Mus musculus: one gene and its partner. The protein of the gene in region 2 purifies or fractionates together with the protein of the main gene of each other region. This does not show direct contact. Links are inferred from orthologs where the notes say so. Each region holds a gene or a part of one and is shown on either strand. Other genes may lie near its edges.

Region 1 (4,037 bases), on a different chromosome or scaffold from region 2:
TATCTTTTCCGTTAACATTAACATAATTTGAGATATCCATATACTATGTGAGAACTCCTAAGAGTATATTCGCACATCCTCTGTTGTAGGCTTGCTCTTCATCACCCAATTTCATTATGTGCATTATAGGCAGCTTTACAGCTTTGTTTTCAGTTCGTCGGTAATAGTTTATCAATGTATTGAGAGCTATCAGAAATTTACCAGAGTTTGTCATAAAAGTTGAATATGCAACTGTTTAATTAGAACTAGGTAATTAGCAAACATCGTTAGTACAACTTATGTGATACGTTGTATGATTAATGTTAATAGTAGGATGTACATTTTATAGAATTCGCTGTAATCTGGTTTATCATCTCTATATTCCAATTTTTTTAAATTAAAGCTTTTTAGTTTTCAACCAATGATTTTATACTAACCTTTAATATTATGAAACACAGTAATGAATTCTCATTATTTACTTCTGCTGGGAATATTGCTCAGCTGGCTGAGTATGCACCAGGCCCTAGGTCCCTGCACCTAGAATACAGAGCCATGAAATTAACTCGTAAGGAAAAAAGAGGTAAGGTGTATTCCTACACGACATTCCCAAACGCGTGCATTCATCCTGAATTAAAGAGACAAGGTGCTTCCAACTTGAGATAGAGAAAGATTGAGAGGGGTAGTTTCCAATTCACAAGGCAAGGAAAAAACTACACACACCTATCCCACGAGATCCGCCAGGCGGGTGGTGGACGCCTTTTGCGATTCTGTTTTTGACATCTCTGAAGATGTCTATCCTGATCTTAGCAATGTCCCTCCACGCCCCGTTGGCGGCCGGGACTAAGATCCAGAAACCCGAGGCACCTGCGGCTCTGACCGAAACTACGCCGGCCGACCTTTCTCTCCAGCTAAACTAGATCTCCCTGACAGGCGGCCTGAGAGTCTCGCTTCGATGCCTAACAAACACTGGCTACGCGGACCCGACGCTCCGCAAAGGTGGGCGCTGCTGCAAGGGGGCGTCCGGCTCGGCAGTCAGTGTAGGAGACCCGCCAGCCCTGCCTCGCTCTGAGTCTGCGCACGCGCGCGGTGGTCATTGGTGGGGGCGACTAGCCTGCAACAAGACCTCAACCGGGATGAGCCTTGCCGCTTCCGGAAGGGGCGGGGCCTGGGTAGGACACGCCCCGGCACGCAGCAACCGAGGGGGTGTCCCGCCTTGCCGAGTTTCCGGCGCTCTCCCCCGCGTCCCGCGTCCCGTGGTCTCGCCCGCCCCCGCTGCCATGTTGGATTGTGCGGCTGCCGCCGCCGCCGCTGCCGCCGCCGCCGCCAGAGGACTGGAGGAGTAGGGAGTTTAGCGCAGCCGCCGGAGTGCTAGGACAACGACCATCCAGCCGGAGCTGAGCAGGGCGGGAGCCCGGAGCTTCCCTGTCGGCGCGCGGCCCGAGGGCGCCCGCCGTCATCTCCTTCCCTCGGCCTCCGCGCGCCGGAGGAGCGACGACGGGATGCTGCGGCTGTGACCGCCGGCTCGCGCCCCTGTCACCCAGAGTGGGACCCGAGTGCTCGCCCGCCGCCAGAAGTGACGACCCTGGACGCTCCACCCCACCGGCGACACCATGAGCTCGGGCCAGCAGCCCCCGCGGAGGGTCACCAACGTGGGCTCCCTGCTGCTCACCCCGCAAGAGAACGAGTCTCTCTTCTCCTTCCTCGGCAAGAAATGTGTGGTCAGTAGCCGAGACCCCCCTGTCGCCACCCCCCAACGTCTACTGGCGGGTTCGGGCTGGGGGGGAACGGGACTCAAGGGTAGGAGGGAGAAGGGGGGCAGGCTCGGCACGGCTGGGGTGCTGCTGCGGGCCAGGCCTCCAGCCTCCCGGGCCCTGGGGCTCCCCTCACCCAGCTCTCCGGGTGCAGGCCTGCCCGGCCCGGAGCCACCTCCCCCAGCTGCTGGAGAACAAGGGAGTGTCACCTCCATAGGCCTGCCCAGTAGCCCAGGTCCGCCGGGCCGGGCCGGGTCCGTGCCCTTGCTGCAGGTTCAAACTTTACTCTAGACCACAAGGGGATTTTGTTCGTGCATCAGCAGCTTAAGATCTCAGGACAGGATCCCAGCATTGGCCCTTGCTTCACTTCCCACTTCTGGATCTGGGTTATCTTCTTTAACAATGCTAGAGGTTTTAGGAATGAATAGATGGGGAAAGAAGCGAATTGGATTTTCGGTCCGCCTTAAGGATTCCGGGAGAGAATAAAGTGCAGTGCAGGTTCATGGACACTTAGGATCAGAGCAAGGGCAGGAAATGCGCCTGCTCCCAATTGCAAAAAACAAAAACAAAAAAACAAAAACGGGGTTTATTTCTCCAGCAGAAACTAGGCCTAGTTTCTGCTCTCCGCCCCACTGTGGGTTTTTCTTTTCCTCCCTGGCGTTGTGGGGTGGGGTGTAGGGTGCTGTTCGCTCCCAAGCCATGCGTAGGGAAGCGACAGTTTCTAATAGCTCACGGCCTTTGGGATCAAAAGTGGTTCTGAGTTTGGTGCTGTGAGGAGGCCCATTCCAACCCCAGATGGCGGATTGGGAGCAAGCAGTTCTGTGGGAAGGGGAATGGGTGTTATTGACGGAAGCATTCATTACGTTGGCTGCAGGCCTTTCTGGGGTGGGGAGGTTCTCTGGGTGAAGGCCTTATCTTGATCTTCCTGAGGTGACTGAGTTGAAAGGGGGATTGTTGGAATGCTAGCCGGCTCCCTTTCTGCCGTGTTTGCTAGCTCTCACAGAGCCTGTGCCTCTGGAACCCAGGAAACACCCAGAGAAGTTTCAGCCGAGCTGAACCATTTCATATCCTCCCTTGGCAATGTTGGAGATGTCAGAATCAGACTACACCTGCTGAAGAAGTTAAGAGGAGACAGTTTCTGGAAAGTTACCAGATTAATTGTTAACTTCATGATCTGACTGTTCATATCGACTTTGGGAAACCAAATCATTCCATCGGACTTAAGATGTATTTCTTGTTCTAAAATTTAGACTTTAAAGAACACTGCGTTCACTGACTAAAGTAGAAAACAGTGGTTCAAAAAAAGAAGAAAAAGAGTTTGGGAGAAAATTTACTTTAAAGATGAACCAAGTCTGTCCTCTATAGTTCTTTAAACAAATGAGAAAATGGAGCTCTTGGCCCCAAGTCACATAGTAATTTAGGAATGTAACTGGAACTATATGCCCAGTTACTTTGTACTTTCCACTACATCATGTTGTTTGGTGAGGATTTTGTTCCCCTTATTGATTTGTCTCTCAAAGTGGTGTTAAAGGAATAACTACTTCATTTTTTACATAAAATTAATAGAAATAAAATGTAAATTTCTTAAAGCAGCATTAATTTTTGCATAATTTTCAGTTTAGGGAAATCTTTTTATTTTATTTTTATTTTAATATGAGCTGCCTGCAAGCAGGGTAGAGGTCATCTTTGCTGGTCTAGTACCTTTAGTGTACAGTCTATCAAACATTAAGTAGCTCACTGTGTTCACATACCAGGCCCGTGAACTTCAGGCATGGCAGACATTCATTTGTGTTCTAGTATATGCGTTGCTCAGAGCTTACTGTAGTGTTTACCCAGGGTTTCAAGGAAATGACAGATGTGGGAGTATATTTCGATAGACAAAGATAACACGGCTCACTGTAAGCATAAGTGGGTTACTGAAATGGTTACAAGTAGTCAGTGCTCAATTTCTTTACATCATATATTATTAATCAACTTTACCTTTTGAATTGCAGTAACTTAAAACCACATTGTTGTTGCTTTCTTGTGAAAATTACTGTAAAATATGAAGCCTTTGGCTTAATAGAGAGCAATGTAAAATTGGTGTTATGGAATAATCCTAATAGGCTTTGCTCAGAGGGTTTTTTTGTTTGTTTTGTTTTGTTTGTTTGTTTGTTTTGTAGTTTAAAGCAACAGTGAAATAAATGCATTCTCATAAATCAAGCAGCAAATTTACAGGTCAGAACAAATATAATAAGCAGATACATTGAGAGCTCTATCTACAAAGTTAAGAAATGAAACCATTATATGGTGCCAGATTTTAAGTAA
Region 2 (3,500 bases):
AATCCAGTTGCTTGAAGCTAAAGTTAGTCTCCCAAGTTATATTGCTAAAAATAACAATAGGTTCTAATAGAAGGATAATCCAAGTATGCTCCAAACAGGAGACATTAAATTCTGGAATATATAGTTTGTCAGCAAATAATATTTTTCCAAATATTCATTATTAATTTTACACACTTTTCTAGAAAAAAATTCAAGACAGTTGTCAAGTATCAAAATAAAGTCCATTAAGCTTTTATAAATTAGGTGTGGTGTATAAGGGAGAAGCCATAGTTCTTTAGCCTATCTTTGAAAAATATCCCTGCTTCTAGTTTTCCAGTGTTTCAGAAAGCTGGCTGCTCATTGTAAAATCAATCAAAATCTCTCTCTCTCTCTGTCTCTGTCTCTGTCTCTGTCTGTCTGTATGTCAGAGGTTGAGTTGACAACTACATGCCTTCTTTAATAGCTCTCTACCTTATATTTAAGAATTTAAGAAAAGGTTTCTCACTGAACCTAGCTAGACTGCTAGATGGGCTGGCATTAAATTCTGGAATGCTACCTCCTAGGAATTTTCTGTGCCCAACTCTGGGATTACAGTTGTGTGCTGCTACATCTGGCATTCTTAGGTATCAAATTCTTCCCCTGGTTTGCATAGCAGGCACATTAGCACCTCCTCAGCTTTTATTCTAACTTAAATCACAACATATGTCAGTAATAATTTAGATTCTTTGTGCGTAAGTAATTTCAGACCGTCAAGTTGCAGTAATACAAGTAGCGTCCCCTCACTCCCTCCCCCAAATTTCTCTGCTCATCTATGTTTTTCTCATGATGGCTATCAAACCCTTGAGGCCTTGTGCATTCTGGGCAAGAATACTACCACTGATACTACCACCTTCCTAGTTCATCAGTGTTTCTTATACACCATGTTGTCTCTTTTTCTTCTTTTTAAAAGCATTTTTGTTGACTTAAGTGATTCCCTTACAAAGCATAAAACAATGTGTGGCAGATTTTGAGGCTTTTGCAAATCCTTTGTCTGTATCTATCTTGTTGACATACTTAGCAAAAGGATGTTGAATTCTGGATTAAAGTACTTACTTCATTGTTGAGAAAACTGACATGGTAGTCAATACCCAAAATAAAAGGCTGAATTTATTTGCTTGCTTCATGAGGCATATCTGCTTTTATGAAACAATCTCTCTGAAGAAAGCAGAGTGAGATCAAGTCTAAACTTACGTTTCAGGACAGTGTTTGCATATATATATATATATATATTTTAAAATAATGCATATAAGTTAGGCAGTGGTGGCTCATGCCTTTAATCCCTGCACTCAGAAGGCAGAGGCAGGTAGATCTATGGCATCGAAGCCAGCCTGGCCTACAAGAGTGAGTTCCGGGATAGCCAGGGCTACACAGAGAAACAGTGCCTCAAAATACAAAACAAACCAACAATTCAACTAACTCATTCAATTATATTTTTTTATTTTTCATAGAGTTTGATCATTGTATTTTATTGTCCTCAGATTTATTTATAAAGTTGTTTGTGTTACTATTCCCTTTGACTGTTTGCAGTATACAGTTGCGGTTCCTAGTATTTGCATGTTCTTTTTCTTTTTCTTAATATTTCCAGAATTGTCATTTTAATTAGAGAGGGGCTTAGAGATTTAACTCCTGAGTGTTAAGTGGCTATGGCTAACAGCCCCAACTTTAACTAAACATCTCCTTCATAAATTCTTTTGCCAGTTACATGAAAGTTTAAAATAATTTTTAAGCCAGTTTATAAAGTAATGGGCTTCATTATTCCAGTTTAAATATTTATTTTTAATATTTTTAATTTATTTGGTGTGTGTGTGTGTAAGAGAGAGAAAGAGAGATAAAGAGGAGAGAAGAGATGGAGTTACAAGGGGTTGTTAAAATGGGTTGCTAGTTGCCTGAGGTAGGGAGTCGGAACCAAATCTTGGTTCTCTGGAAGAGTGGGAAGTACTTTTAATAGCTGAGCCATTGCTCCTGCCTTTATTACTTCATTTTTCATACACATTTATCCGTTATACTTGGTTCTCAGTCCAGAGAACACTATAAAAGGAGAGAGATGTTTTTGAGATCTGAAATGTTGTCTAGGCCTCAGAGTTGTGATGCTGCTGCCTCAGCCTCCAGGCGCTGAGCTTACGGCTAAGACTTTGTTTAGCCTCAGACTGATGGTTTTTATGTGTTCCATATATGTTCTTTTGTTTAGAAGTAACATTTTATATAGGCCGATTATATCTCACTAATACAGTGTTATTTATAACCTTGATGCTTTTGTCTCCTTGATTGTTTTGTTAATTGAGATAAATATGTTAAAAATTATCCCTTATAATAATGAATCTGTTATTTTCTCCTGTAGTTATACCAATATATTTTAATTTTGTACTTTATAACTTATATGGGAAGACAAAAGTGTTCAGAAAGCATCTGTTATTTGTTGTATACAAGTTTGATTTTATCTACTTTAAGAGGAATGTTCAGTTGTCTGTGTAGTGAATTTCATTGCTAACGGTGGTTTTAAATGTAAGTTAGTTTATATAATACCAAATAGGAACAAGTGTTTTTTAAAAATTAGTACTTGCCTGTTAGCATTTTTCATATCACTTTTAACTTTTTGATACTCTTAAATTTATTTCTTTTTTATAGTATTGGGAATTGAGCTCAAAGCTGTGCACGGGCTAGGAGTATCTACTACTGAACTGCATAGTGCCCCGCCCATCTCCTGTTTTGTATATTAGTTTTGAGACAGGGTTTTACTCTGTAGCTTATTCTAGCTTCAAACTTAGTATGTAGCCAAGGCTAGCCTCAGCCTTATGAAAGTCCTCTTGCCTCAGCCTTTTGAGTGTTAGGTTTGCTGGTATGAGTCATAATTCCTGGCCTCTTAAATGTTTAAGCATGTCTTTTTGGACAAGCATGTAGACAATTACACTTCAGCACCATTTAAAACATGTTCTATGTGTTACAGTGTTGACGCTGCTGAAAGATGGCTGAAGAAGTGGTGGTGGTGGCCAAATTTGATTATGTGGCACAGCAGGAACAAGAGCTGGATATCAAGAAGAATGAGCGATTATGGCTCCTGGATGACTCTAAATCCTGGTGGCGAGTTCGAAATTCCATGAATAAAACAGGTTTTGTCCCTTCTAACTATGTGGAAAGAAAAAACAGTGCTCGGAAAGCATCTATTGTTAAAAACCTGAAGGACACCTTAGGTAAGTTGTTTCTTATTGAAGGAGAAGCAACAGCTTTCATTTTAGATCTTAGTTTTGGCTTTTTTTTTTTTTTTTTTTTTTTAGATTTATTTATTTTATGTATATAAGTACCAGAAGAGGGCATCAGACCCCATTACAGGTGGTTGTGAGCTACCATGTGGTTGCTGGGAATTGAGCTCAGGACCTCTGGAAGAGCAGTCAGTACTCTTAACTTCTGAGCCATCTCTCCAGCCCAACTTTGACCTTGTTACAACAGCTCCTGTGGAGTTTTGATTTGCAGAAAGTTTGCCACTA

What was found. The genes of interacting proteins can lie anywhere in the genome.
Region 1: the proteins of Nck1 (region 2) and Wasl purify together in Homo sapiens (co-immunoprecipitation; 4 studies listed by BioGRID and IntAct, with this or other methods). This does not show direct contact. The link is inferred for Mus musculus from reciprocal best matches to the Homo sapiens genes NCK1 and WASL.

What each region holds. Positions count from the first base shown.
Region 1 is NC_000072.6:24,662,196-24,666,232, reverse strand, and holds the start of Wasl (neural Wiskott-Aldrich syndrome protein), read left to right. Parts: upstream 1-1,237; 5' UTR 1,238-1,589; coding exon 1,590-1,697; intron 1,698-4,037. UniProt on the Homo sapiens protein: Regulates actin polymerization by stimulating the actin-nucleating activity of the Arp2/3 complex. Involved in various processes, such as mitosis and cytokinesis, via its role in the regulation of actin polymerization.
Region 2 is NC_000075.6:100,508,135-100,511,634, reverse strand, and holds part of Nck1 (cytoplasmic protein NCK1), read left to right. Parts: intron 1-2,962; 5' UTR 2,963-2,980; coding exon 2,981-3,206; intron 3,207-3,500. UniProt on the Homo sapiens protein: Adapter protein which associates with tyrosine-phosphorylated growth factor receptors, such as KDR and PDGFRB, or their cellular substrates. Maintains low levels of EIF2S1 phosphorylation by promoting its dephosphorylation by PP1.